Nothobranchius furzeri: one gene and its partners. The protein of the gene in region 6 interacts with the protein of the main gene of each other region in a biochemical or structural test. Links are inferred from orthologs where the notes say so. Each region holds a gene or a part of one and is shown on either strand. Other genes may lie near its edges. The genes, in order: nqo1, lrrk2, atxn3, raf1a, cftr, stub1 and ube2wb.

What was found.
Region 1: of the proteins of stub1 (region 6) and nqo1, one has a biochemical effect on the other in vitro, tested with the Homo sapiens proteins (2 studies listed by BioGRID). The link is inferred for Nothobranchius furzeri from reciprocal best matches to the Homo sapiens genes STUB1 and NQO1.
Region 2: the proteins of stub1 (region 6) and lrrk2 form a complex in vitro, tested with the Homo sapiens proteins (3 studies listed by BioGRID and IntAct, with this or other methods). The link is inferred for Nothobranchius furzeri from reciprocal best matches to the Homo sapiens genes STUB1 and LRRK2.
Region 3: of the proteins of stub1 (region 6) and atxn3, one has a biochemical effect on the other in vitro, tested with the Homo sapiens proteins (6 studies listed by BioGRID, with this or other methods). The link is inferred for Nothobranchius furzeri from reciprocal best matches to the Homo sapiens genes STUB1 and ATXN3.
Region 4: of the proteins of stub1 (region 6) and raf1a, one has a biochemical effect on the other in vitro, tested with the Homo sapiens proteins (4 studies listed by BioGRID, with this or other methods). The link is inferred for Nothobranchius furzeri from reciprocal best matches to the Homo sapiens genes STUB1 and RAF1.
Region 5: of the proteins of stub1 (region 6) and cftr, one has a biochemical effect on the other in vitro, tested with the Homo sapiens proteins (4 studies listed by BioGRID). The link is inferred for Nothobranchius furzeri from reciprocal best matches to the Homo sapiens genes STUB1 and CFTR.
Region 7: the proteins of stub1 (region 6) and ube2wb form a complex in vitro, tested with the Homo sapiens proteins (7 studies listed by BioGRID, with this or other methods). The link is inferred for Nothobranchius furzeri from reciprocal best matches to the Homo sapiens genes STUB1 and UBE2W.

Annotation. Positions count from the first base shown.
Region 1 is NC_091749.1:66,525,528-66,529,820, reverse strand, and holds the start of nqo1 (NAD(P)H dehydrogenase [quinone] 1), read right to left. Parts: upstream 2,801-4,293; 5' UTR 2,675-2,800; coding exon 2,671-2,674; intron 1,618-2,670; coding exon 1,450-1,617; intron 1,250-1,449; coding exon 1,119-1,249; intron 338-1,118; coding exon 224-337; intron 89-223; coding exon 1-88. UniProt on the Homo sapiens protein: Flavin-containing quinone reductase that catalyzes two-electron reduction of quinones to hydroquinones using either NADH or NADPH as electron donors.
Region 2 is NC_091744.1:48,478,194-48,481,693, reverse strand, and holds part of lrrk2 (leucine-rich repeat serine/threonine-protein kinase 2), read right to left. Parts: intron 3,429-3,500; coding exon 3,301-3,428; intron 3,185-3,300; coding exon 2,966-3,184; intron 2,893-2,965; coding exon 2,691-2,892; intron 2,390-2,690; coding exon 2,301-2,389; intron 610-2,300; coding exon 422-609; intron 346-421; coding exon 191-345; intron 98-190; coding exon 1-97. UniProt on the Homo sapiens protein: Serine/threonine-protein kinase which phosphorylates a broad range of proteins involved in multiple processes such as neuronal plasticity, innate immunity, autophagy, and vesicle trafficking.
Region 3 is NC_091758.1:31,656,002-31,660,057, reverse strand, and holds atxn3 (ataxin-3), read left to right. Parts: upstream 1-1,298; 5' UTR 1,299-1,388; coding exon 1,389-1,412; intron 1,413-1,791; coding exon 1,792-1,956; intron 1,957-2,045; coding exon 2,046-2,090; intron 2,091-2,171; coding exon 2,172-2,257; intron 2,258-2,338; coding exon 2,339-2,405; intron 2,406-2,486; coding exon 2,487-2,574; intron 2,575-2,650; coding exon 2,651-2,780; intron 2,781-2,852; coding exon 2,853-3,016; intron 3,017-3,119; coding exon 3,120-3,276; intron 3,277-3,352; coding exon 3,353-3,414; intron 3,415-3,489; coding exon 3,490-3,542; 3' UTR 3,543-3,556; downstream 3,557-4,056. Other genes in the region: E3 ubiquitin-protein ligase UBR1, read right to left, coding at 1,212-1,256. UniProt on the Homo sapiens protein: Deubiquitinating enzyme involved in protein homeostasis maintenance, transcription, cytoskeleton regulation, myogenesis and degradation of misfolded chaperone substrates.
Region 4 is NC_091755.1:58,342,979-58,347,144, reverse strand, and holds the start of raf1a (raf-1 proto-oncogene, serine/threonine kinase a), read right to left. Parts: upstream 2,801-4,166; 5' UTR 2,570-2,800; coding exon 2,318-2,569; intron 2,217-2,317; coding exon 2,104-2,216; intron 2,008-2,103; coding exon 1,905-2,007; intron 1,819-1,904; coding exon 1,661-1,818; intron 1,236-1,660; coding exon 1,146-1,235; intron 127-1,145; coding exon 1-126. UniProt on the Homo sapiens protein: Serine/threonine-protein kinase that acts as a regulatory link between the membrane-associated Ras GTPases and the MAPK/ERK cascade, and this critical regulatory link functions as a switch determining cell fate decisions including proliferation, differentiation, apoptosis, survival and oncogenic transformation.
Region 5 is NC_091744.1:53,050,081-53,053,580, reverse strand, and holds part of cftr (cystic fibrosis transmembrane conductance regulator), read right to left. Parts: intron 3,194-3,500; coding exon 3,093-3,193; intron 792-3,092; coding exon 561-791; intron 305-560; coding exon of another isoform or gene 290-304; exon of another isoform or gene 245-289; intron 162-244; exon of another isoform or gene 1-161. UniProt on the Homo sapiens protein: Epithelial ion channel that plays an important role in the regulation of epithelial ion and water transport and fluid homeostasis. Mediates the transport of chloride ions across the cell membrane.
Region 6 is NC_091756.1:32,259,707-32,263,819, reverse strand, and holds the start of stub1 (E3 ubiquitin-protein ligase CHIP), read left to right. Parts: upstream 1-1,313; 5' UTR 1,314-1,453; intron 1,454-2,120; 5' UTR 2,121-2,234; coding exon 2,235-2,348; intron 2,349-2,460; coding exon 2,461-2,659; intron 2,660-3,741; coding exon 3,742-3,907; intron 3,908-4,001; coding exon 4,002-4,077; intron 4,078-4,113. UniProt on the Homo sapiens protein: E3 ubiquitin-protein ligase which targets misfolded chaperone substrates towards proteasomal degradation.
Region 7 is NC_091747.1:53,051,291-53,054,790, forward strand, and holds part of ube2wb (probable ubiquitin-conjugating enzyme E2 W-B), read right to left. Parts: intron 2,369-3,500; coding exon 2,266-2,368; intron 1-2,265. UniProt on the Homo sapiens protein: Accepts ubiquitin from the E1 complex and catalyzes its covalent attachment to other proteins.

The DNA of each region.
Region 1 (4,293 bases), on a different chromosome or scaffold from region 6:
GGACCACGTTAATGTCCCCGTTGATGCCGTCAGGACTACACATCGACTGTGTACTTCCAGTAGTGAAGGACAGCATGGCCTTTTTACCCTAAACACACACACACGCACACGCACACACACACACACACACACACACACACACACGGTAATTCATCAAATAAAAAAGTTCTATTGCTGTTTGTGACTGATCGGGTGGTTTGTGTGAATGTGATCAGGATCTCACCCTGAAAATCCCGTTGCTGTACATGTTCTGGAGCGAGAAGGCGAACCCTTGGGTGAGCACTCGGTCGATCCAGCCCTTCAGGATGGCCGGAACGCTGAACCAGTACATAGGAAACTACCGCAGGCACACACAAAGCACCAGCTCAGAGAGGCCTTTTGTTTTGTGTGTGCGTGTGTGTGTGTGTATGTGATAACTAAAAACAAAACTAATCAATCATTTATAAACAGTCTCAGGAAAACCATTTTTTAATTCCAAACAGCAACTTTATAAAAATCAGAGCTGAAACAATCATCTTATGTTTGAAGAGTAAAGAAAACCGAGATAAACTAAAATGTTAGAGCTGCAGCCACTCGCTCATCAGGGACACTGTGGCAACCGGCCACTTGTGTTGCCCCCCCTCCCTGACAGGAAGTCAGACTAAAACGAAACAGCAGACAAACAGCTGCTGGGTGAAAACTAAAAGTGCTTTAGAAAAACAGTGCGTGTCTTATCGGGGTCTCCATGGTAACCAGCCACCTGCGTCTCTCCAATCTGTGTAAAAATCTCCAAACATCCTCCAGTGATCAAAGACATCAGAACAGCAGTCTGATCATGGAACATCCAACTTCCTGTGACGCGTTTAGACTCTGAGCTATAAATCTCCAGAGGGGGCGGGGCTTCCTGACCTGGTTCACCTGTCTGTGGGGGTGTCTATCATAGATATCAATGAATGTCATCTCCATCATACAACAAACTGCTCCCAAGAGTCACAGCTCACTGGTCCTGATCGGACTAAAGGTTCTGATGGTTTTTTTTAAAGCCTCAGCGTGAAAACAGACAAAAATCTTAACAGGAAGTTATGAGGCTTCTTCATGGATCATTACCATTAAACTGAGACTGATTTGTGACCTCTGACCTGGAAGATGATAAGATCTGCCTGTTTGACTTTATCCTGCTCCTGTCTGATGTCCTCACTGAGACGGCCGTCCTTCCAGGCGAGCATCGTCTCCTCTCCGTACTGAAACTTGTCTGGATTCTTCAGGTCGCCTGCACACACACACACACACACACACACACACACACACACACACACACACACACACACACACACACACACACAGGTTTAACATAATTTATGGTAAAAAAAAAAGCTTAAATATGATCAATCAACCTAACCAAAAAAAAAAAAAAAAACCAAAGAGACGATAAAGAAAACATGAATGACAGGAGGAAAAGGAGCGGCTCACCGATGATGTCATCCTTAGTGGCACTAGCCCTAAACTTCATGGCGTAGAGGTCAGACACCACGACCTTAAATCCCTGAGCCTCCAGCTCCTGGACCGCGGCATCCCGGACCGCCGCGTTGAAGGAGGCTGGATTCTGGTGAGCGAACACGATGAGAGCTGTTTTCCGATCTGGGAACGACAAACAGGAAGTTTGTTTTCAGAACCAAGACCAGAATATGACCAGTACCTATTCTGTCAAGTTTAAAATCTTGTTTGTTTTTAAATCCGTTAAAGGCCTTGCCCCCTCTGAGCTTCTGGTGCCCCATCCTCCAGCCAGAAGTTTGTGGTTTAGCCCTGTTTCTTCTGGAGGTCCCAAGAACCAACCCGAAAACTTGTGGGGACATCTTTTCCGTAGCGGACCCAACACACTTTAGAATAAAAGGACCATTTGAAGAAGCATTTAGTTAAACCTAATGTGGCAAGGTGGAGTAACGAGGGACCCGGCGGGATTAGATCCCCAGACTCCGAGGTGAGAGTCATGTGTGTTTACCAGCCAGCCAGAGGGACATCCCCTTGGCTACGCGGCCAGGGCGCATGATCAATCGGGACACTGTGACAGGACGCTCCCACTGCCACACTAAAATTATAATTTATTGGCTACATGTACCTGGTGTATCAGTGTGATCAATGTTACTGTTTCATGCTTTTATTGTCTCATTTTATTCTTTCTTAGTTTGAAACTAATAATTTCCGGGCCGGCGAAGCCCTTTGGTCAGCTCAGCTGTCTTTAAATGTGCTTCACAACTAAACTTGACCTTGACCTAACAGAACCAAAAAGGTCAAATGACACACAAACAAAAAAACTAAAACACATAAAAATGCTAAACGCATAAATAACTAAAACCCACAAACTAAACGTTCTTGTTTATTTATGTGTTCTAGTCATAAATGAACATAAACAAAAATAAACTAGAGAAATTCTACTTTAACACCTTTGAAGCAGACAAAAAACCTGATATCTAAAATGAAAGTTTGTTGAAACTTTTTCAGATGAGAACAATCATTAATAATTCCATTCATTTGATGTTCTTCAAATGAGCACAGCCTGCATTCCAGGAACGATCAGGTCATTGTTTCTGTAGAAACCCGCCCAGAACTTTATTCAGAGACTCAGAAACCGGGTTTCTCCTCCAGAAACATGGAAAAGTTCAGCTGATCTGCAGCAGAAGATGAGAATCTTACCCATGATGATTCAGTAGACTCCGTCTGCAGTCTGGACGTGTTTCCTGTGGCTCTTATAGACCCAGCAGCTAGCGTGAGAGTGCTGCTGTAGCCGGAAAGTGAGAACCTCATGGTTATGTAACAAAGGAATAAAAAAACAGGTCTGAGAGGCTGCAGAACCGGTTCTGCTCAACAGGAGGAGACGTGAGCAGAGACACAATCCAGAGAGGAGCTGGTTCTAAATTCTGGAGTCATTTTATTCCCAGAACCAAACAGGTTTTGATCCTGGAACCACATTCTCTAAAGCAGGGGTTCCCATCTGGGGTCTATGACCCCCAAGGGGGTCCACACAAGAATGTCTGTGCAGAAGCTGTGAGGTTACCAAAACTGTTTATGTAAAAAATACATTTTTAAAATCCCAATCTCACACCCAGTAGTATAATTTAATCTTTATCGGAGAGTCAGCTCTGTAAAATCACTGTTGATGCATAAATGCGGGTAGGAGTTGGTGCTAGGGGTCCTCGACTGTCCTGGAGCCAGACAAGAGGGTCCTGAAGGACAAAAGGTGCTCTAATAATAATAATAATAATAACAATAATAATAATAAAAAAAAATAATTATACATTTTATTTGGAGTGCCTTTAAAAAAACAAGGACACTACAATTAGTTTAAAAAATAAATAAGAAATTAAAACATTCAATGACTAGAAAATTTAAAACCCAAATAAAACATCAGATAAATTCTATTTCAATTCAAGTTTATTTATAAAGCGCCAAATCACGACAAGAGTCATTTCAAGGCCCTTCACATAGTAAACATTCCAATACAGGTCAGGTCATTAAGCCAATCAGAAAAAAGTTCCTTATAAAAGGAACCCAGCAAATTGCATCGAGTCACTGACTAGTGTCAGTGACTTTACAGCAATCCTCATACTAAGCATTTAGCGATAGTGGAGAGGAAAACTCCCTTTAAAACACTTGTAACAGTGACTAAGCAATTTTGAAGAGATGAGTTTTGAGATTAGCCTGAAATAGGTGAAGGGTAGTCACATTCCTAAAGTGAGCAGGTAATGAGTTCTCTGACTGAAACTTTAGATGCTCCAAATCCAACTCGGCACAAGTCTGTCTCTTCAGACACGGAGACACACGACTCCTTCGCGCCATGACACTCAGTAATGCTACCTGAGCACCTTTATCACCTGATCTGCTGTTCAGAGTTCTGATAACCAGCAAATTCAGGGTCAGATTTCACATCATGGAAACGTTTTGTTTGGTTTGCTTTCAAGCTGCTGTTGATTGATGAGTTGATCACATGACCCTGGGCAGTTTACACACCTGCTCAGGTGAAGATGGTGAGGTTTTTTTTTAAATCTAATTTGATCTTTTAGTCACTGCAGAATGATCCAGACACATTCTGATTAGGTGTTTTGACAGCATTTAATGATCACCGTGGCAACCATGGGAGTATAGTGTCACCTGACTCATGGGGTGGACTATACAGACTAGAGCTGACACAGGTGTTGTTCTGACCAAAGTGACTTGCAGGAACTCTGGACTCTAGTGCCACCTGCTGGGGTTTGAGATGCTTCTCTATTCTTCTGATCCTTCTGTCCTCAGCCGTGGAAATCTAATATAATCATTTAT
Region 2 (3,500 bases), on a different chromosome or scaffold from region 6:
TCCTCCGAGGCAGCCTCCACCAGACAGTAGGCCTCAGGGGACCAGTTTAAGTAAAGCCCTCTCCTCCAGTAGATTCGGTTTGGTCGGAGAACTTTCTCTATGAAAGTAAGGTGACAGAGTTCTACTATATTGCTGTTTGCTTAAGAAATGATGAAATTCTTTACAATGAAACAGAAGTTGCTCATTTTACCTCTTCCACCGAGCAAATAGGATGAGACTTCCAGCAGGCGGCTGATCTGCCTGGACCAGAAATCCATGGGGAAGTAGGGCAGCTCATACAGACGCACAATCACCTCAGAGTTCTCACAGTGAGGCAGCTCGATCACCGGCCTGTGTTTGGACAAGCTGCAGACAGCAGGGTGAGATGCTATAAAACTCAAGACTCTTTAATCGGGGCAAGTTCCAAAAAAGTGAAACTTACCTGCTAGGAACAAGAAGCTGGCCGTCCCCAAAGGGAAGAGCAATCAGAAACTTCTCCAGGAGTTTAAAGAACTGGACCAGGTGGCTCTTTGGGAAACATTTGGTCTCAAACAGAAACCTTTCCACCACGGATCGCTGAATAACTCCTTTGGGTTGCTCCCAGAGACTACAGCTCTTTAGCATCCCTCTCTGTAAAGAAGACAGAACTACTTACATGAGAGTTTTTCAGGGCATTTGAGGACAACTTAGATAGTTATATCTAAAAATGTTAGCTAAGGAAGTTTAAATAACCAACACCAGATGTGTGGATTTCACAGCTGAGCTGCTGGTTGGTAAAGGTGTACAGAGTCGGTCCATAAAGGAAACCAAGAAGACTAAAGCTATTTTTGAATTAAGGAGTTCTATCAAGAATTACATCAGACTCTTTACCTACAGTGGAATAAAATATGATAAAATTACTGTAACACGCCAGCAGGACCAAGTTGCTGCTAACAGACACTAGACAAACTCCGGTTTTTCACCCATAAGTTGGAGGATATTATAAACTAACCATTTCACTAAAACAGTATAGGTGAGAGTTTGGCAGACAAGTCTGGTTGGGTTTCATTTGATAATAGTTAAACATGGTTTCCTAGACACATTTAAATGGAGGTTAATTACAAAAAAAGAGGGACTCAAGGACTTGACCCTGTGGAACACCAATAATAACCTAGCATGGATGGGATTGGAGACTAAAGTCTAGTGTGTGGTTTTAGAGGTATAATTGTAGCTAAAGCTGGCTGGTAGTCCAGCATTGCCATGACAAACTAGACAATCAAGAGGTGGGTTATAAAGAGGGACCATTTCTCAATGAGACTATGTTCTTGGCTGGGACAGCAGAAAGTCTGTTCTATGGAGTACTGGAGGACGAAGACTGCATATGGAACAACCATACTCCATTACATCTTGGCAAAAAGCTTTTATACTACGGTTACAAAAAGGACCTGAAAGAACAGTAAAATTCTGGTTTGTCCCTTAAATATCAAAATAACAAGGAAAACCTTTTGTTTGTAGAATATTTGGTCAAATTTTTAATGCTACAGTGTGTCTTTCATTTATCTTTCTTCAAAACTGGTAAAATACCAGCATTTCACGCTGTTACATGAAGAAAAATAAGTTCGTTTTTTATCAAAACAGATATGCAAACACTGGTTTTATTCTGATAGTGGGTTAGCTAATTACCTGTCGTGGTTTAGTGAAGAGTCAGAAAAAGAGAAAAACAAACACAACCATTTCCCAGTCTACACACAATTATCTACAATAACAGACAATTTTATATTTATTTATTTAGACTTATTTGTATTTTTGATAATGAAACACTAGTTAGGAGCTTTGTCTTCCACAACTTTCCATTGGAGGTAGAACCATTTGCGATGCAATGCATTATGGGATAGCTTGCTGGCCCAAGTCCACAGAAGGCTGCGTTGATGCGTCCTCTATACAACGAGCAGAGCAAAAACACATCCTGGTATTTTTCTCCTTTTTTTCTTTATTTTCCTTTTTTTCTTTCTTTTTTTCCCTTCCTGGTATTTTAAGAGTACTTGCCATGATGCATACTCAGGTTTGGAACAGTACTTAAGCCAAAGTTGATGAGGTTTCACAAGGACGTGAGTGCACAAGTTCAGACGAGCATGCATGCTGATAAAAGACCCTGGTGTCAAAAGCATCAGACTGAAGGGAAAGAGCGTGATGCTAATGAAAACTCAGCTGCCATCAGCAGGTCACTGGTAGCCCAGAACCAGAATGAAACGTGTAAATGTTGTGATGATTGTTAACGTACTCAGCTACTTTTTATTTCAAAAAACGAAACAGCTTGGCTAGGGTCAGGGTAATGGACTTACCTCAGACAAGACGTTGCAGAGCCACTGTGGGATGAGAAAGTAGAATTCCTGCAGCTGAAGCGCAGGGTCATCAAAGTGCAACAGAATCCCTACAACAGCAAAAACAAATCAAAGACTTGATCAGTTTATTCACAACAATCTGTAACTAATCAGCAGGTGAGGTTCTAGATAAAATCTTTCATTTTGTGTTCCTCATTCCAAGAACGCTCCATTCTGACAGGCTGGAGTAAAGGGGAAAAATCAACACGGAGTTTTACAATAAGGAAACAATTCACCAAGGGTTTTATACCAAGTTTCTTCATATAAACAAACAATTCTAATTTGATCTGATGAATATGAGATTTTATCGTAGATTTGGCATTTTTATACACAGCTGTGCTCCTAACTGACCAACTTCGCTGAGGAAGTGGATAGCTTGAGGCAGTTCGGCTTCCTCCAGCTGCAGCTGACTCTTGTGGATGAGCTGCAGAAGCTCGCTGTGCCTGAGAACGGGGAACTCTGGGGGGACCTTGGTCCTCTCCTGCAGAATCCTGCGCTCCAGCTCCACATAGCTGTCTGGCACCAGCTGACCTATAACTTCCTGGCCTTGGATCTGGCAAATAAAGAGCAGATGACTTGAGATTAGACGATAAAACAAGAAATACATTTATCTGCTTCCTTTTTACCTTGAAGCTGGTGACCTCCCGGATGATAGTCTTACGGAGTTTGACGATGGAATCCGAGTCCTCGCAGGCAGAGACTATGTGATGGTCTCTGATGGCCGGGAAGCCCTGATAGTTCAGCAGCTCCTGTCGAAACTTACCGAGACAAGCCTGGAGCTGCGCTTCCTCACTCACATCTGTGTGTGTCCCCACGAGGATGACTGGGGACAGCGGAGCCACAGCCTGAAGTAAAGATGCAGGAAAACCATTCTCATCAATGTAGTTTAAATCAGGAAGTGGTACCTCTGATCTCTGTCAGCAGCACAGAGAAACAAGCTCAGCTTTGGTCTGTGGCTCACTTTAATGTTGAAGAGCCAGGGTTTGAGAGCATCCACCTGACTGGCTCCTTTGCTCAGGTTGTAAACAACCAGGTAGAGAGCTCTGGATGTCAGAAAGTGGGGGTGAGAGCCACTGAAGTCCTCTCCACCTGCAGGTTAAGGACATTAATAGAAATGATAGTTGGAAGAATGAGTTTATAAATGAGGCCCCTGATCTCTTT
Region 3 (4,056 bases), on a different chromosome or scaffold from region 6:
TAATTCGATTCAGATGTAGTGACTGTAGCGGCTTGAATAAAACATCATTTTGAGATGATTAGAGCTTTGTAGTATTATCCTGCTGGATGTAGCCGTCAGAGCATGGGTCCAGTGTGGAAACACAAGTATGGACACTATCGCCAACAATAATCAGGTACGGGCCCAGACCATTACATCACCACCAGCAGCCTGAACCGTTAAGATGGATCCATGTTTTCAAGTTGTTAACATCAAAGTCTAACCTAACATTTATGAATGTTGCAGCTGAAGTTGAGATGCAACCTTTTGCTAATATCATGATGAAAACTGCAACACTCAGACCAGCCTGCCTGGCACCAGCACAAAACCACATTCATTACCACTGAAATCCCCTTTCTTCCCCAGATAATCAGACAAAACTTCATCATGTCCACATGTCTAAATGCTACCACCTGATTGGCTGTTTGTGTTAATAAGCATCTGAACTGGTTTACCTGCTAAACAAACTGGTGAGTGTATGGTACATCCACGCCAGGAGTCTGTTTAGGTTCACTTACATAAATATGCATCATCAGAACAAATATGTTTTTGTGTACCAACTGAACACCTTGAAAATAATACAATGGATTGGATGAAGCAAGTAAAATTATACAAAAATTATATTTCGGTTTTGAAAATAAAACTGAAATAATTTATTTTATACGAAACTAAAACAAAAACCACATTAGACGGATTTCTCAATAATAAAACACAAAGGCTGTAACTACATTAGGACGTTTAAAAATGCGTGATTATGTTGGTGTTTGGGAGGCGAAAATATCTGAACAGGTAAACCTAAATATGAATAACAACACAGTAACAGTAGACTAGTTTACTTTCACTGTAAATAAACGGAAAAGGCATTCAGGACCTCAGGCTAAGCATTTTAAATGTCATGTGTAAGCACAGAGGGGAAAGACAAACACTTACATCATTTCTCATGGAAAAAGACTAAATTTATCCCGAAAAGAAGTAAAAATAAAGTCGGTTTATCCGTAATAAACAGCGTGATGCCTCTCTAATGCTAGTTAGCCTTGGCGGCTACGACTATTATTAGCCTGGCAAGAACAACCTTCTACCATAATGCAGTAAAACCTTATTACACATGATTTTTTTTTTATTTTAAACTCCGTCGTTTTGCCACAAACTCTCAGAAAGCGCTGTCAACGGAATTAGCTGAGAGAACATCATACCTGACTCAGCTCCAGCCTGTTCATGGAATTCTCACTGTCCGCCATATTCCATTTGCCGTAAGTAGAGGCGTCCAGCACTGTGCCGCGCGCACGCCCGCCCGCTAGGGGGCGTCTCCTCTCGATAGGGCGAGTGAGGGGCGGGGGTTAGAGAGTTGAACGTTTGACAGAAAGCTGAATATGGACTCCATATTTCATGAGAAAGTAGGTTTAAACATTTTATAACACGAATTTACCTGATTATATTTACTGATTTTTGATTAAGCGGTGTCGGTGCTCGATCTGCTGAATAGTTTTACCAGTTAAGTAGCCGCTATCGAGGCGTTTGTGATGGAGTTGTTGTACAAACTGCTAATACGCTAATTCACTTGCTAGTCAGAGAATGTGAAAAGTTAGATTTTTAACATGATAACTATTCCTGGCGTCATGTAGGGGTTTTGTTTTCTTGTTAGTTAATCGCTCTCTGCTTGGCTGGGTCCTCGTTGGGCTAGCTGCTACATGTGTTTGTTTTGGTTGAGCATCTTTATTCCAGAAGTCCAGCTGATGCTGGATGCTTGTTACATTCCTGATCCTTTGTTTGCAGCAAGAGGGCTCCCTCTGTGCCCAGCACTGCCTCAACAACCTTCTGCAGGGCGAGTATTTCACTCCTGTGGACCTGTCCTCTATCGCTCATCAGCTTGATGAAGAGGAGAGGATGAGGATGGCAGAGGGGGGAATGGCTAGTGAGGAGTACAGGACCTTTTTACAGGTGTTATGAGACAGAGGGTACATATTGGTACAAAATGTTATCAAAAATGTAATTTTATTCATGTTTTTCTTTCGAAAATGTGTTTAAAGCAACCCTCTGGGAACATGGATGATAGTGGGTTCTTTTCAATACAAGTGAGTTTACAATTATCTTTTTATTGCTTCTAAAATCCATGTCCTCTTCTGTAATATCACTCTTGTTTCAATATTTTCAAGGTGATTAGCAATGCTCTTCGAGTCTGGGGCTTGGAGCTACTCCTCTTTAATAGTCGAGAGTACCAGAGCCTAATGATAAACCCAGTGTAAGGTTTTAATGTGGAAACATTATGATAGAAGATCCTGATCTCTCATTTCTTTAAGCTGATGCTTACTTTGTGTTTCAGAAATGAGAAAGCCTTCATTTGCAATTATAAGGAGCACTGGTTTACTATACGCAAACTTGGACAACAGGTGTGTGGCACTCACTCACTTACCTAGTCATACTTGTCTTATAGCAGCTTGATTCACTAAAATTCTCTGTTTCCTTTGCAGTGGTTTAACCTGAATTCACTGTTGACAGGACCAGAGTTGATATCAGACACATATTTAGCACTTTTCCTTGCACAGCTACAACAAGAAGGTAGCATCAGAAACTGTACATTTAGAGGTTGAACTGGAGAAAAGATGATTAAATTAGTTCTTTTTTTTTTTTGCAGGGTATTCCATATTTGTGATCCGAGGGAATCTCCCTGAGTGTGAGGCAGAGCAGATTCTTGGGATCATGAGGGTCCATCAGCAGCAGCGGCCAAGGCTCATCGGAGAGGAGGAAGCGCAGACGAGTGCGGGGTGTGTGTCATTTTGTTCACAAGGGTTCTGGTTTGTTTAACTCGTCTGATTCGTGCGTTTTGCTGTAAGCAGAAGGTCGGCTGCTCTGAGCCAGACAGAGGTGGTTTTTGGTGTTGAGGATGAGTCTGTGGGTGAAGATGAAGAACTGAAGAGAGCTCTGGCGCTCAGTAGACAGGACATGGATGTGGAAGATGAAGATGCTGATCTACGCAGAGCCATACAGCTCAGCATGCAAGGTCAATTGTGTGCCATGTGAAGGTTTTAAAACTGTTTGAAACTTGTATTAAACTTCTAAACATTAGTTTGTAAAATTAACTATTTGCATTTGTCTTTCTGCAGGAGCAGTGATGAGCAACAGGATGTCAGACAGTGAAGGGGAGGGTGTAAAATCTGGAGGGCAGGCAGCAGAGAGCACTACAGGAGAACAAAAAGAAGGCCAAAACGAGACGCTTACAGCCGAAGAGCTGAGGAAGAGGAGACGAGCCTACTTCGATCGGTAAGATCTACAACGACTGTTTAAATCCCTAAACGAGCTCTGCCCACTTAGAAAACAGATGTTTCTGTGTTTATAGGCAGCAACAAGCTCAGCCAAGCATTCCTCAACAAGCAGACAAACATTCAGCGGCTGATCCAGGTGATTAAATCTAACTTAGTTCAGAAGTCATGTGACTTGATGACTCGTTTAACCTGTGGCTCTTATTTCCACCAGGATCAGTAAACACTGGCTCTGAGGAGGACCAACAACAAGCTCCCATCCAATAAAGTGGTGAAAGTTTTGTCCGTGTTGTTTACCTGCAGCCTGGATTCAACTCCCCTCTCAGGGGTGGCTTTGCTCCTTCTTCTAACCTTTTGCAAATGCAAACATAAGGGCAGTCAGAAGGCTGACACGTGGTTACTCCCCCGCCCCCTTCCCGCCTCGTTAGTCACTGACTGAGGAAGAGAAGAACGACAAAGAAAAGGCAGCACTTTCTCATCTGAATCTTTTAGAAAGCACGGCCACTGGACCGGAGAAGACTCACGATGCAGTTTAATCCAAGTTTGCAATTTGCCTTTTTACCATGGCGCCTTCTATTTCTATCGTACAGTTTTATATCCTGGTTTTGTGTTTCTTTTCTTAAACACGTGGAAGTTATGTCCTTACTTGCTGAGAGGTAAAACGAAAAGGCGTTCAACAGAAGCAATATGAGACCAACGTTTAGATTAAAGCTTTACGGAAAACAACAAAGCCTCCTGATTTTGTAGCGGTTTTTCGTGCAACACACAAGTAATTAAAACA
Region 4 (4,166 bases), on a different chromosome or scaffold from region 6:
GCGGTGCTGACCATGTGGACGTTGGGCGTGGAGGTGGAGCGCTGCCGTTGGGAGAGACCGCCGCCTGTGGGTTGGTACGATGTGGCGTAGTTGAAGGCGTGGGGGGTGGAATTTCGGTGGGCTGAGCTGTGACAGGATGACAATCGAGCCTTTAGCTAAAAACGACCAAACCAGCAGTGGATGCTTCTGTCGGCCACATCTTCGGGTGAGGGTGTGGGTGTGGGTGAGGTGGCCTCATTAACTCTCCTCAGTCAAGCACCCTTGTTTACGTTGGACTACTGCCACACATTCAGCACCAGAAGCCATTACATGCCTTAGCTGTGTGGTAAACAGCAAAGAGTGAAACTACATTGTTTAAGGGAAGTAGCTAGTGGGCTCGTATTTGTTACTGGTCTTCCTCTTTAGCCGTGTGTGGCTGAGCGGCTTTGTGTCCAGATCGGTTAAAGAGCACAAAACCTTCCAGCCAGATATGCTAATCCTACAGCAGCGCAAAGCCGCTCTCGGATCTGCAGAGAAATCGTCCAGAAGCGGCGCAGAGGAACCGGCTGTTTGTGTTTTTGAGCAGAACCTCGCCTTGGTGTTCTTCATGAGCAGTCCCGCTTTAGACAACAGGAATTAATATTCCTGTCGAGCATTTCGCATTTTTCTGCAAGGAACAACTTGCAGCGACAGCCAATTTAGCAACCCTGGGTGTTTTTTTTAAACCACTTTATCAGCCATCAAAACAACAGGCTGTTTTTCACACCCGGCGTTACATCATTCCTTCCACTGATAAGCTTCCCTGAAGCAAAGACAGCCTTTTAAACACATACAACACAATTAAAATATGATCCTAAAAAAGTCCAAACTTGACCACATGTGAGCCGAATAACATCTAATCTGTAATCTAGTCTACAACAGCTTGATGTTAATCTGGAGGTAATTAAACTTATAACAGTGCAAAAGTTCATTTATGTCAGTAATTCAACTTGAAACACCTGCAAAGGTTTTCCTGAGCCTTTAGATGGCCTCTCAGTCTAATCTGGATTACATAAATAAATGGACCATATTCTGAAGTATTGTTCCAGTTTCACCTGCATAATAAAACCTTGTTTTATCCTTCTGCAGAGGGTTTGTGATGAATAAGTAGAGAGAAGCAACGTCACCTTGGAAACCGTGACAGAGACTCTCTCATCCGTCGAGAGGTGAGCGGCGGCAGTGACGGGGTGCCGCTCTCCCCGGGGACCGGACACAACCTGCCGACAGAAACAAGAGACTAAAGTCCTGAGGAGGGTGTGTTTACAACAGAGCAGTGTGCAAATGACACTAATCTTTACAGAATTACTGTTCATCTACAGCCTGCATGCAAAATGAAACAAAACGGCCTTTTTGGCAGTGCCAGGATGCAAATGAGCACACCCCTATGCAAACTGGGATATCAGCAGAGCTTCCTTCTACTGTTCATCTTTGCAGAAAGTTTGGGTGAGCTCATTTCTAATATAAATCAAATTATAAAGCCCGAGGGAGATAAACGAACTGTGCGTGTGCTGACTTGCTTATTTTAATTGGTGTATTTTTTTGTAATTTGTTTGTTAAAAATGTTGTGCTTCACCATGTCACCATTTTCCCCCATTTAATCAAAAGTTGTTTTTATAATAAGAGACCCCTCTCAGATACTTACAGGAGCTGTCTGATGTTGCTCCAGTCCACACACATCGTGGGCACTTTGGTGCTACAGTGTTCGTGGAATTTGTAGCCACATGTTTGACAGCGGAAACCATTTAAAAGAAACTTCTGGCAAATATCGCAGAAGGCTAGCTTAAGATAGGTCTTCCGAGCCTGGAAATGACAGAAAGCATTTTGAACGTGTTGATTTAGCCGCTGGACGCGGAGGTGAGGGCGCTGCAGAGGACTTGGGTGCTTACAAAATTATGGGTCGTCAGCGGAACGTGATCTAAAACCTCGACCAGCAGCTCTTCCCCAATTAGAGAGGTGGAGTCAGTGTTCCAGTCCATCCGAGATTTTCTACTGGTTGGAAAACAAACCGTAGAAATAAAGGGGGAGAAACATAAGCATGTGATCTTCTTACTTCTGGTTACAATTGTCCAAAAACCCTGAACTCACCTTCTCTGACCTGGGTGCAGCTTGAAGACGGCGCAGCACTGAGGCTGCAGCCCTCGCACCTTCAGGGCTTTAATCAGACACGTGTACAAAGTCAAACCTGGTCGCACGTTTACCTGACACACGGGAAATTACAAATAATTATGATCTGAATTCAGAGGTCGCCGTGTTAAATGTGGAAACTCTAAACGCGTTTCCTAATGCAGAACTAACTCACCACCGTGCGTTGCTGGTTTGGGAGGTAGACACGGATTGTGCTACTAGCCTTCGAGTCTGGCACCTTGCTGTCATCTGAGGAGCGTCGCTGGTGGGGAAAGCCCTGGACCATAGTCGGGGAAAGGCAGGGACCCTCAAACGCAGAGTCCTTCATTCCAAAGCCGTTACTCAGGGTTCTCCACGCTCCTTGAAGGTGCTCCATCAGTAAAACTAAATACTCACAACAATCTATGCAGATCACAAAGGAACACATTGGATCTCATCCATCTCTGTGGGTGCATTCCTCATTTACTGGCTCTCTTAACTAGAACACAAAAGCTGCAGAAATGCATGTTTTGGGGCATACAGACACAATGTTTATGCTGACAATGAGAAACAGCATCTGCTGGCCTGGACACGGTTGATTAAAACACCAGGGGGGGAAAAGTGGCAAAACATGAGATTTGGGTTAGAGCGCTGTAAGGTTTAATCTCAAAACTTAATCTCACCTCCAGCAACCTTTAAATAGAGATCGCATGTGGGGATTGTGGCATAAAAACATATTAATTACTGAGAAAAGCCAGAAACACTGAGCTAATCCAAACTGCAGAGTTGTGTGTTTCTGCGGGTCTTTTTGTCTCGGCTGGAAGTTTATAACACGCAAAAAGAGTCGCGTGTGGCCTATATATGCTAATAAACCAGAAGAAGAAAACAATGAGCTGAGCTAAACTGACTATTTCATGCAAAATGTGTTTCCTGAAAACAAAAGGCCAGGCCATCAAATAAACCCACTCACCTGGATTGTTTCCATCACAAACTACTGAGCTTAATGTAAACAACCAAAAGGTTTTTGTTTATTCTTGACATTCACGTGTTTACCACCACCCTGCAGGTTTATACAGGAGGCTGCTGACCCTGAAGACACTCGTGTTGTTATCATGTCTGCTGTACTTGTGTTAATGCACATCTGCTGCAGACAGGCTAAACGCTGGAGATTTGTTGCAAACGCTTGATTCATCCCAAGCATGAGTTCAGTTTACAACAACGACATGGCTGCTTCATCAAACGTCCACATATGTGATTTTGACATGTAGCAGGTTAGCATGAATGCTGCTAGTGTGTAGCATTCAAACCAAACAAGGGACAAACAGCTATTTGGGATACTCGTGTGGGTTTTCTCGTGCTTTAAAATGATACGTTGAGGGTAGCAGCGAGTGTGTTTTTAAATAAAGCTCGACAGTTTCACCAAAAACAGCGAAGCAGCCAGCAGGCCCTCCCTGAAACAGCGAACTGAACTTCTGCTCGGTTTTTAATGGTTTAACCTGTATTTTGTGTTAATGTGTCTGAAAAAGAACCGGTTTTAACACTAAAAGTTCGGCTTTCAAGCGTGTATCAATAGTAGTGAAGTGCTAGGACCGGTAGATCGTACATGCTTACCAAGAGAAGTTCAAAAAGTTGTGCTCCGCCATAACTTTAGGAAAAAGTGGCGTCGGTGACATCATCATATCTGCAACGCATTCAAAGAAAAGTGGGAAAAAAGACCAAAAGCGAGTCCTCGACTAGTCCCAAACGCTCCTGTAAACGCAGAAAGTCAGTTCAGTTACTGTAAAACATAAAGGTCACAGGTGGCTCTTGGAAAAAATTCATCCAAAGCAACGGAAAACAAGGTTTTGTCTTCCGGACGTGACAAAAGCGAGAAATCCGTCGGTCCTTCAAAGTGACACGACGGTGGATTTTCTCCCTGATGCAGAAAAAACACTGAAAGTACAAGTCCGATGGGTTCCCCGCTAAAGCGACGCCGTTTGAATCGATCTTCACGTTGTTGGAGAAGGTGACGCGGCTCGACTTGTTGTGCGTCCGTCTGACGCCAG
Region 5 (3,500 bases), on a different chromosome or scaffold from region 6:
TGCAGTAATGCACTCAGACTATCCATTAGCATATCAGTCCTGAATAGCAGAAATTGAGAATTGTGGCATCAACAAGTCTTCTCCATGCCGGGTTTTTCTTCAGTCCAGCAGGTAAACCAGGTGATTTCAGTCAGCACAGAGAATGAACCTGGTCCAGTTGCCTAGCAGAACAAAATCACAGCATGAAGTTATCTTGTTGATGCCACAATTCCCATCTCTGCTGAATAATGCAGACTTTACTTACAAACAGAGAATGTTCAGGAAATTATCTGCAACAGGCGAGGTAGTTTTACACAGAAACACACTTCAAAAAAGTAAAGGAATCAAAAAAGATATGTATTAAAGGCAAGATGTATTTATTCCACATGCTAACAGCAACAGTTAGACAAGCAAACAGGAAGTCAGGATTTATTTACTGCCAGGACAACATAAGAGTCCAAAAGAATCAACTTGAACTAAATTTACATCTACTGGTCATCAGATATTTTTTGTTAACAAACAGACAAAAACATGAAGAGATCTACTGGGAATACTAAAGTGTAGTTAAGGTTGGGACTCACGCTCTGCCCCCCCTCCACAGAGAAGGAGATGTTGTTGAGCACGGTTCGCCCAGCTTCGGTGTATTTAACAGTGAGATCCTGGACGTCCAGCTGACCTCGGTTGGGCCAGTAGTCGTACATGTGGGGGTTGTTGATGATGAAGTCGGAACCTCCTCTGCCTCCAGATTTACCCAGTAGGACCTCCTCTGATGGCAGGTCGATGAATTTGAACACCCGGTCCACTGAACGCATCTGAGAGGAGAAAACAGGTGGACTGAATTCTGCCCTGTGCAGGTTTGGTACTTCCTATGTTTTGGTTCAGTTGGTTGTGTGTCAAATTATAAGATTCTTTAAAAAAGTCACATTTAAATTAATTTCATGATTGGGTGTTGTGTGAGCAAAGCTCTGGTCTCCGTGAGAGCAGGGGGAGCTGGGGCAGAATTTTTTCTATTAACAATAAAGGAAATGTCTGAGGAAATATAAATATGGAAAGAAGCAGGAAACGGGCAAACGTGTATTGCAGTATAGCATTACTGCTTCTCACGAGATACGTGACTCTCTTGAGACTTCATTTCACCGGTCCAGAGAGACTCAAGTTGCAAAAGGCGGTATTCTGCCCGGAAGGAGCCGAGGTGGCTGAGAATCTGTTAATTCAAACCCTATATATTCATGTTAGCATCTGGCTCAAGGAAAGGAAAGTTTACAAGGAAAATACGAAAAGTTTACTTGGTGTGACGATAATTTATCTCGCGGAGGCCTGCTAAATTTTGTCTTCTTCTTAAGGCAACACTAGAGTTTTTAACACTTTAAGCCGTTGCTTTCAAACTGGTTTCAGTGGTTCTTGAGCCAGAAACTTGAGCAACTCCACATGGGACAGCACTCTGTAGCCCTCTGCTGGTCAGAAACTGTACGTAAAGTGAGAGTAACACCTAAATCAGCTTTTCTTTTTTTTTTGCTGATTACCTGTGTGGATGAGTGTCTAATAGAGCTGTAGACATGTGTCATTATTTTGGCAGTTTAGTGCAACTTACTTAAATTATACAATTTCAGCCCAAAACTGTAATGATATCTCATTCTTCAGGTTAAAACTCTGCTCCACACCGAGTTAGAATCAGCCAGTCTGTACAGTACTATGTGGCTGCAATGCACTGGACTCCTGCTGAGTCTTGCTGCACCTCCACCTGGCTCAACCACTCACCTGCTGATATGACACGTTGGTGCTCGGAGCCACTCACCTCCTTAGAAAAACATCCTCTTCCAGTGGCGGCTCCAGAAATGTTTTTCTGCAGGTGCTATGAAGGAGCTAGTCTTTTTATTGAGGGTGCTATGAAGGAAGTGGTCATGCGTACCTATTGTTCTCTAAAACACCTTCAACACCAGCAGATACACATGCGTGCACAAAACCTCAACAACACCTGAAACAATCATTAATATAAATCATAAACATGTGAACAATCGCTGACTTTTCCATGAAATCATAAACACATACAGCCACACAGAAAACCATCTAGAGTGTTGCAAGGTTAGCTAATGTTAGTGTTAGCATTTCCAGCAGCCAAACCCTGGACTGCTGCGGCGGTTGAGGGTTGACTCTCTTCATCCAGATACGTAGGTTTTTGTGGGTCTGAGATCACTTCCAAACATTCATTCGTTTCTGAATGAACCCGTGGAAATGTGGGCAACAAAAAACGACCCATTTTACCACTAGCTCTACCTTTCACTCATTCGCAAGTGGAACATGAGGTCAAAGGTTAACATCAATTTACTGTTTTGGTTTAAGTTTTTACTATCTATATGATAATTTACTGATTATTTTTGTTTTGTATGTTAAATATTATCACATCCACACGTTAAATTGAAATTAAATTGTAAAAAAACAAATCTAATATTTACTTGAGGTGCTATGACTGATCCAGGGTAGCTATAGCGCCCCCTGGCACCCCCCTGGCGCCACCACTGTCCTCCTCCCTAGCAACCTCAGTTAAGAGGATATCACCCTTCTTGCAGGCAGTTTCTGTGTCTGCTCTTCCCCTGAGCAGTGAGTCTGCTCTTTGTGTGTGCTCGTGAGCACGCTTGTTAACGACTCTTTTTCCGACCGAGAAACTCAGAGAGAAAGTAACAGAGGGATATCTTTGGAGGAGAAGCAAAGAGCTAAAATCAAAGTGAACATCGGCGCGGCCGACACTGGTTTGAGGGAGCTAAAGGAGGCTAAAAAATCACGGACTAATTGAGACCTGGCTTTGTTGCTACTGTTAGTAATAATAGTTTTTTTGTCCAACAGTGAGGATCTTTTATTTAGTACCAGTTGGCTAAAATTAGCATTAGCTTGTTGTTAGCGTTAGCTACAGCAGGCAACAGTTGTAGTTAATTTCAACCATTGGGGGGGGAGAAGCTGGGAGAAATGAGAAATTTTGCATGTTTTTATCAAACCCTCAAAGTTGTGTGTGTGTGTGTGTGTGTGTGTGTGTGTGTGTGTGTGTGTGTGTGTGTGTGTGTGTGTGTGTGTGTGTGTGTGTGTGTGTGTGTGTGTGTGTGTGTGTGTGTGCTACATACTAGTCCATCCACATTGATACTGGTGATGATAGCCCACTGGAAGGTCCCCAGAATGAGCATAGCCAGAGCCACAACGATACCTATTTCTCCTGGTTTGTCCTCTATGGAGAGAACCCCCCACCACACACACACACACACACACACACACACACACACACACACACACACACACAGATTTATCAGCACCATCCAATCAAAAGTGAACTCTGATGCTGCTCTCACTATTACAGCTATGCTTCTGGCCTCATTGGAAACTAATGAGCTGTGAAATGACCCTTAAACCTGCACTCAGCATAAATACAGTCTGTGACGCAATAACACCTGTGTGTGTGTGTGTGTGTGTGTGTGTGTATGTAGAGGTGGGTGGGTGTGTGGTCCCATCCATGTAATAAAACAAACACGTGCTTC
Region 6 (4,113 bases):
CAATCTTAATATTTTGATTTAATTATTCAAAAGTTTACATCACTGAAGCCTCAAAAGATCTTGGCATCCATGAAATAAGTTAATAGAGACCTGTTGTCCTTCTCTGCTGTTGCAGGTCTCTACACAGTTAGACGTTTTCAATTTTGATGTTCAAGTAATTTTGCAGCACAGAGCGCCCTCTGCTGGTGAAGCTTCAGATCAAAGTAGGACAAGCCGTGATTAAAAAAAAAGTAATTTGTGTGTGTGTGTGTGTGTGTGTGTGTGTGTGTGTGTGTGTGTGTGTGTGTGTGTGTGTGTGTGTGTGTGTGTGTGTGTGTGTGTGTGTGTGTGTGTGTGTGCTTTGCTTTGCTTTATGGTATTATAAGATAATAAAAATTTTAATTTGACACACAGACTCTAATTTAAATAAAGTTTAAGTTAAACTTTGAAATCCACAAAGAGAATGTTGGCTTCGACTTAAATATGTAAACAAAACAAAAAAACAAGTCTACCAAAATAACAGCAGCAAACAAAGATCCTGGATATCATTTCATAACAAGAATATGTGAGTCTGTTTGATCATTCATCATTGATCAACATGCCAGGAGAATCCTGAAAGGAATGTTGATAAATGATCCACGTTTTAACAGATTTGTACAAAGTTGCCATCAAAGGGTATATGAATGTAATCCACATTTTATTTTGGTAGGATTATTGCATTTTCTGACACTCTGACATAGCATCCTACCTGAATATGAATTTGAAACCACTGCATTAGGATTTGTACATAACTATTTGATTTAATGCTAAATTAGTAAATAAAGATAATTAAAAAATATAAAAAGATGTTCAGTACAACAGTAGATGCACACGTTTTTTTACCTTTATTGTCAATTAATAGTTGACCTCAAAACCTATTATGTATGAATATGTAAAATGTGTTTTGGAATTACTAATACTTTTGAATAGCTTGAATCTATGTCTACATGTGATAAAAAATAATGACTAAATAACTCACATGCCATCTTAATAAATTTGTCTAAATGTTACGTATTAACACGTAAATGTACAAAAATAAATGATACTTAAAAATGGTGTTTAAATAGCTACAAAATAATAATTAAGACAATTATTTAATAAAATAAAGTATACTCAAAATACTAAACGTTATTTACTGCATTTCACAAACAAATGAAATTGTTGGTAAGTCTTTCTATACATAAAACATTTTTTGTTTTATTCTAAATGAAAGATTAGGAGGTAATAACTGATACATAGTTTCAGTTATTTGCTTTTTATTTCATCGCACTAATTGTGTCCTTTCGGCTTCCGTTGGAGTAACGTAAAAAAGCCCTTTACGTCAGCATAACAACAACTTGTCATGAGAGCTCGTACGGGGAAAATCAATACTTAAAGACTGTATATCAAAATAAATGAAGTCACAATCATCTGGATGTAAGATTTATCATTAAAGGTAAGAGTTGGAAACGGTAGGCTTTAACAACGAACTCAGTTTAAACCAGAAACAGGGGAGGCTTTGGGCTAACAGGCTAATTTTAGCATTAGCTAAAGATTTTTTTACTTATCGCTTAGCCGGGTCTTGGTGTACTATATTATTAACGACAGTGTCCGGCTGAGAATAGTTTGGGATCAAACGTGGCATTTATTGTTCATTTGATGAATTCAGTGAGTTTAACTAGAGCTGAATGAGCGGAATCCTTTAGCAACCCCCGGTGAAAACCGACCACGTAGCCTAGCTTACTAGGCATAGCAGCGATCTCTGGTCTCACTAAAGTTGTGAATTTTTTCGTCTGAGAACATTTTCTTCCACAGCAGCTAGCCTCCAACTGTTCCTGCGCAAGCGAGTGATCTGTTTGGAGGTGTCGGTCGTCACCTTTCGGCTACCTCTGGTGTAAAGTTACCCTGACTTAATACTCAAAGCGGTGCTCATTGCAGATTGCAGCCCACGCCGATGTCCGTCATATGAATAGTTAATTCAGTCTAGGCACCTAGCTGTGTTTTTCAGCGGCAGTGCGCGCAGTCAGCAAATCAAACCTTTTGGGTGGCATCGAGCAGCATTGCACCTAAAAGACGCGCATTGCAGCTGCAGTGCAGTAAACCCTGTGGTGTCTGCTCTGTAGAGCGCGATCCAGGACGGACTGGTCATTTTGAACTCTGACGTCTGGCCAGCCGAAGAGACGGGGAACAGGATTGGGAAGCAGGGCGAGGCGGGCCCCGCGGAGCCGGTGGAGAAGATGGCCGGCAGCCCGGAGAAGAGTTCCACCGCGCAGGAGTTGAAGGAGCAGGGGAACAGGCTGTTCCTCTGCCGCAAGTACCAGGAGGCTGCAACCTGCTACAGCAAAGCTATTGTGAGTGGCACTAAGGATGTCTGAGTCTTAAGTCATCTAAGCTGGAAGAATACAAATGTTTCTGATTACAGATAATTCATTAACACACTTTCTGGTTTATTTTGTCCCACAGAACCGTAATCCATCAGTGGCTGTATACTACACCAACAGGGCCCTCTGCCATGTAAAGCTGCAGCAGTATGACAAGGCTCTGGCTGACTGCAAGCATGCTCTGGAGCTGGACAGCCAGTCCGTTAAGGCACACTTCTTCCTGGGTCAGTGTCACCTGGAGCTGGAGAACTACGACGAGGCTATTGGAAACCTGCAGAAAGGTTTGAGGAAGTCCTTAAAGAGGATGTAAACATGGCTGAGTTTTGCGTCATTTGGGGGGAAAAGTTCGTCTCACAAGTTCCTTCATTTTTCTTTCATAATTCCTTTTAGATTGAAGTTTTTGTATTGTCATCCTTTTATGTAGTTGTTTTCTCGTCCCCATTGTCTTCAGCAATCTTTAAAAGTTCTATTCCATGTCTACATCAATGTTGTGTAGATAAATTAATGACTTGTTGTGTAACATTTCAGAAAAGTCCGTTTTTTTCACAGTTCAACATGACCCTTAAATGTTGTAATACAATCTCCAGTAATTTCTGCCTATTTTAAATACCAGAAAGCTGATGTTTAAGTGCTGCTGGCTGACAGACTCACACTGTTCAGTCCGTGTGTTTTACTCATTTATATCTTTGAATGTTGCTGACAAGTCTCCAGACAAGTTCTTCAAACAAGCAGATCACACAGAGCATTAAACCCAATGTGCAACAGTTATTTGTTTTTTTTTACTAAAGCAGCGGAGTCCAATCCTGGTTCTGGAGTGCCGGTATCCAGCACGTTTTAGCTGTGTCCCTGCTCCAACACACTTAATCAGCAGCTCATCAAGGTCTTCAGAAGCCTGTTAATCACCTGCTGAGTGAAATCAGATGTGTTGGAGCAGGGAAACAACTAAAACATGCTGGATACCGGCTGACTTCAAAACTCATGGATAAGTCTAAAACCATAACACAACACGAGGGTCAGATTTATGCTTTCTATTATAAATGTATAGTTTACAGGCCAAACCAGAGCAATCAGAGGCTGGTTACCTGGTGGGTGCTGATGGACTGAGTCAGTGTCTCCAGTCTGCGTCATAATGATAGAGAAAGCTTGGTCATGTGTAGCTGCAGGTGCAAAATCTCTATCTTCTAACTACAACCTAACCTACCATTTCAGAGCGTTGGGAAATTGTTAAGCAGCCACAGCACCAGCTCTTCTGCAGCAGCATGGAATTGATAGAAAATTGATTTAAAGACTGTTTAGATGTTCTTTTTGACCGTTTTCCAAACTTCCAAGTTTTAACTAATGTGACTTATTTATTTGTTTATAGCGTATAACCTGGCAAAAGAGCAGAGGCTGAACTTTGGAGACGACATCCCCAGTGCGTTACGCATCGCCAAGAAAAAACGTTGGAACAGCATCGAGGAGAAGCGCATCAACCAGGAGAACGAGCTGCACGCCTACCTGACCAAACTCATCCTGGCTGAGAAGGAGAGGTCAGATGGGATTTTTCTGAAATACATTCTGGCACGCTGTGCTCCAGGTGGTTTAGATTTAGTGATATAACGTGGCGTTTACTATTTTTCATAGAGAACTTGAAGAATACAGAGAAAAACAGGATGACAATCAAAGCGGAGGAGATGCAGCAAAGATTTCATCAAAACACGTTGGGTTTTGCCCTGATTTTCACACTTTTTACTGA
Region 7 (3,500 bases), on a different chromosome or scaffold from region 6:
GGTAGACACAAAAGTTTTTCCACTTAAGTTTAGAAAAGTGGTCCTCTGGGCTTTAGTGCCCCCGCTGCAGAACTCTTAACAGATAGGTGCCAATATCGGATCATCTAGTGATGCTGAATTCAAACATTACTGTCAAAACATCATAAAAGAAAACTGAAGCTAAGACAGTGTAAGAAATGAGTGACCCTTTCAACTAGGCTGGATAAGGCTTCAGAGAGTGCAGAATGCAGCGGCTAGATTCCTGACAAACACCTCTTGACGCTGTCACATTTCACCTGTCCTTGCACGCTTGCACTAGCTGCCGGTTAAATATCGTATCCAGTTTAAGGTCTTAACCTTAGTTTACAACATCCTGAATGGTCAAGCCTCTGCTCATCTGTCAGAACTGCTCATGCCTCATGTTCCACCCAGAACCCTGAGATCAGCAGATCATTTACTTTTGTACATCCCAAAAATGAAGTATAAATCTCGTGGGGAGCGGGCCTTTGTGTTCGCTGCTCCTAAACTTTGGAATGCTCTCACCCTTAGTGTTCGACAGGCCCCAGAACTGGGTTGATTCAAGTCTGTACTGAAGGACTACTTCTACTATTTAGCTTTTGATCAATGACCAAGCTTTTATTGTTATAGAATCTTCCCTGTTGAAATGTGCTAACCTTTTAGCATTGTTTTTATTGTGACTTTGTTTTTACTCTAGTATGTTTCTTTTACATTTTTAGGTTATCCCTTTTATCTCTTTTATGATATTTATCTTGTTTTTATCTTGGGGTTTTCCTTTTACTACTACTGTACAGCACTTTGGTCAGCTGTCATGCTGTTTTTAAATGTGCTTTATAAATAAACTTGGTATGGTATGGTATGGATAAAGATCCACAAACGTGGATCTACAACAGCTTTTCTTTGAGCCTCTATTGGCGCTTACACATTAGCGTAGGTACGGGCCCATAAGGTACCGAACGGCACCGGAATTTGGTTTCACACACCGGTCCGATTAGCGTTTTCAGTGCCGAGGCGACTTTTTCCCAGACCTTCTCCCCAGCGGTCAGACTGGGACCGAGGCGACACTACGGACTGACTGGCCGGCTGAAATTACGCCTACCGCCTCCGATCTGCGAGAAGAATCAGCCAGCCGGGGGTTCCTGCATGTGCGGTTCATTTTCATGCTGGATGCTGTTGAGTTAACTTCTGTCTGTTGCACGGAGCTGCCGATCCGGAGCTGCTATTAAGTGTGGGAGCGGGAGAAAAGAATAGCTTTGTTTGAGTGTGTGTGTGTGCATGCATGCTCCCATTCTCCGCATCGGAGCTCTTGCCCCTCGCAAGCAGACAGCTGCTCAGGGGAGAAATCAGGGGGTGGGCGGCACAAGATTATGAGGGGACACAGAGTAAATTAATAAAATAATGTGGTTCAGAGTCTCCAAAAGCAACACAGCTCATGTCCGCCTTTTGGTACCTTATGGAACGGACTTTCCCGCGCGTATTAAGCGCCCCCCACAGGCTTGGGGATTTCCGCATCTTGAGAAGTTCCTCGGATTAATATGTAAACACTACACCGACCATACCAGCCCAAACTCACGCCATCCTGCCCGACCAAACCCCGACCGTTACGACGCTAGTGTGCAAGCGCCATATAAAGCACATGACACTTTGTTGGGGTCCACAATGCCCTAGGAGCTCTGATAATGAATATTAAATGAGCTGCATGCTGATTGGCTGGTTTAATGGCTCAATGACACTGCTCAAGCTAGAATCTCTGTACAGCAGTGTACAATATCCATATTATTCAATAGAAAGCTACAGATCTATCTGGCATTCATTATAAGTTTGGATATACCCTGTACATCCTGGAACGTTACATGTGTTTTCCCTTTGTTTATAAGAACATTAGCAGTAGCTCGGGCTAGCATTTTTCTGCAGTTAGCATTACTGAGATCAAAGTTTATTCATTGCGGATGTTGAAGTGGGTTGGAGCATGCTAATGTAGGGAGGTGCGTCTATGCTTATGACGCGTTAAACCAGTTTTTGTCAGGATGAACCGTTTCTCCGTGACCATTACAACTTTACTAATTTACAAGTTGCAGACTTTTTGGTACGCTACATAGACATCTCAAGTTGCCTCTATTCAACAACAAGGTAAAAGTGGTTGTTGAATTGTAGGACCCATTTAAATATGCGAACACACACACACACACACACACACACACACACACACACACACACACACACACACACACACACACACACACACACACACACACCCTTTGCTCTTACCTGAGGTGAATCAAAAGGATATCGACTACTAAATTTGAATAGCAGCTGAAATTTCTCTCCTTCATAGAGTGTACCGGGCGCTCCCTCCATATCTACAATCCACCTAAAAACAAAAAAGGACAATGATGACTAAAACATTCCCCCGGTGCCCCAATAAAGAACACAGGTTACCCAAATGTTTACTGTCGAATATAAACGTTACAGGGGTGGTAATCATATTTTCTGAACCATTGGTATTGAAGCTGCTTTACCAAATCAGCACAGCAAGTTGGCCATTCCATATAAACACAGTCAAAAGACTCTCATACCTCCGTCGGCTAGGCCACGCCCCCCAATACGGGAATGCGCATTGCCAGAGTAAATGGGAGAGCACAAATCAACAATCACATTTTTCTATGCCTAAACATCTTTGGTGTCTGTGACTTCAAATGGTGTTTTTTCTTTTTGGGACTCTGGTAGTTTGTCCTTAAGTTGAAGTGGTAGCAGCTGGCTGTTTCTCCTTATCTGATATTAATATTATATGTGCTTGGTCTCGTCTTGGTAACAAAGGCATTTTTACTTGGCCTTTAAAAATGGGACCCAATGCTTGACACAGCTTTAAAGGGTTGGATTGGGGGGTTAAACTACGAAATAGTTCCCGAGCGCAGCCGTGTCTGCAGCACACCGCGCCTCCCCACACAAGTGTGTGTGACAACTAGGGCTGCACGATATTAGGAAAACCGGCTATATTCGATAACAATGATTAAATTGCGATAACAATATTACTTGCAATAAATAAAAACTTATCTCATGAACAAAAATAATCAAAAACAAAGAAGAAAAAAAAAAACGAGAAAAGCAAAAGATGTGAGGAAAGGGAAAAAGATAATGAACAAGAAAAGGTAATCAGTGGATCCCAGGAAAAGCAGAATCAGCAAAAAGAGCAGAACAAAGCTAACTCATGTGTTTGCTAACCATCAAAATTAAGTACTGTCCGCCTCAGGGGCGGGCATCTAATCTATGAGAACCCACCCTTTTGGCCAAATGGGTGAAGAGCTCTATTTGATTTGTTAAAAAAAACATCAGGCTTCCATTTGATTGACAGAATGCATTATGTGTAGCAAACATTTGAGCTGATCATTCATTGCGATATTTATCTGTTCTTTGTGATATGCATATTGTGCAAGCTGATATCGCGATAACAATATATTTACGATATATTGTGCAGCCCTAGTGACAACTATGGGACTTTAATC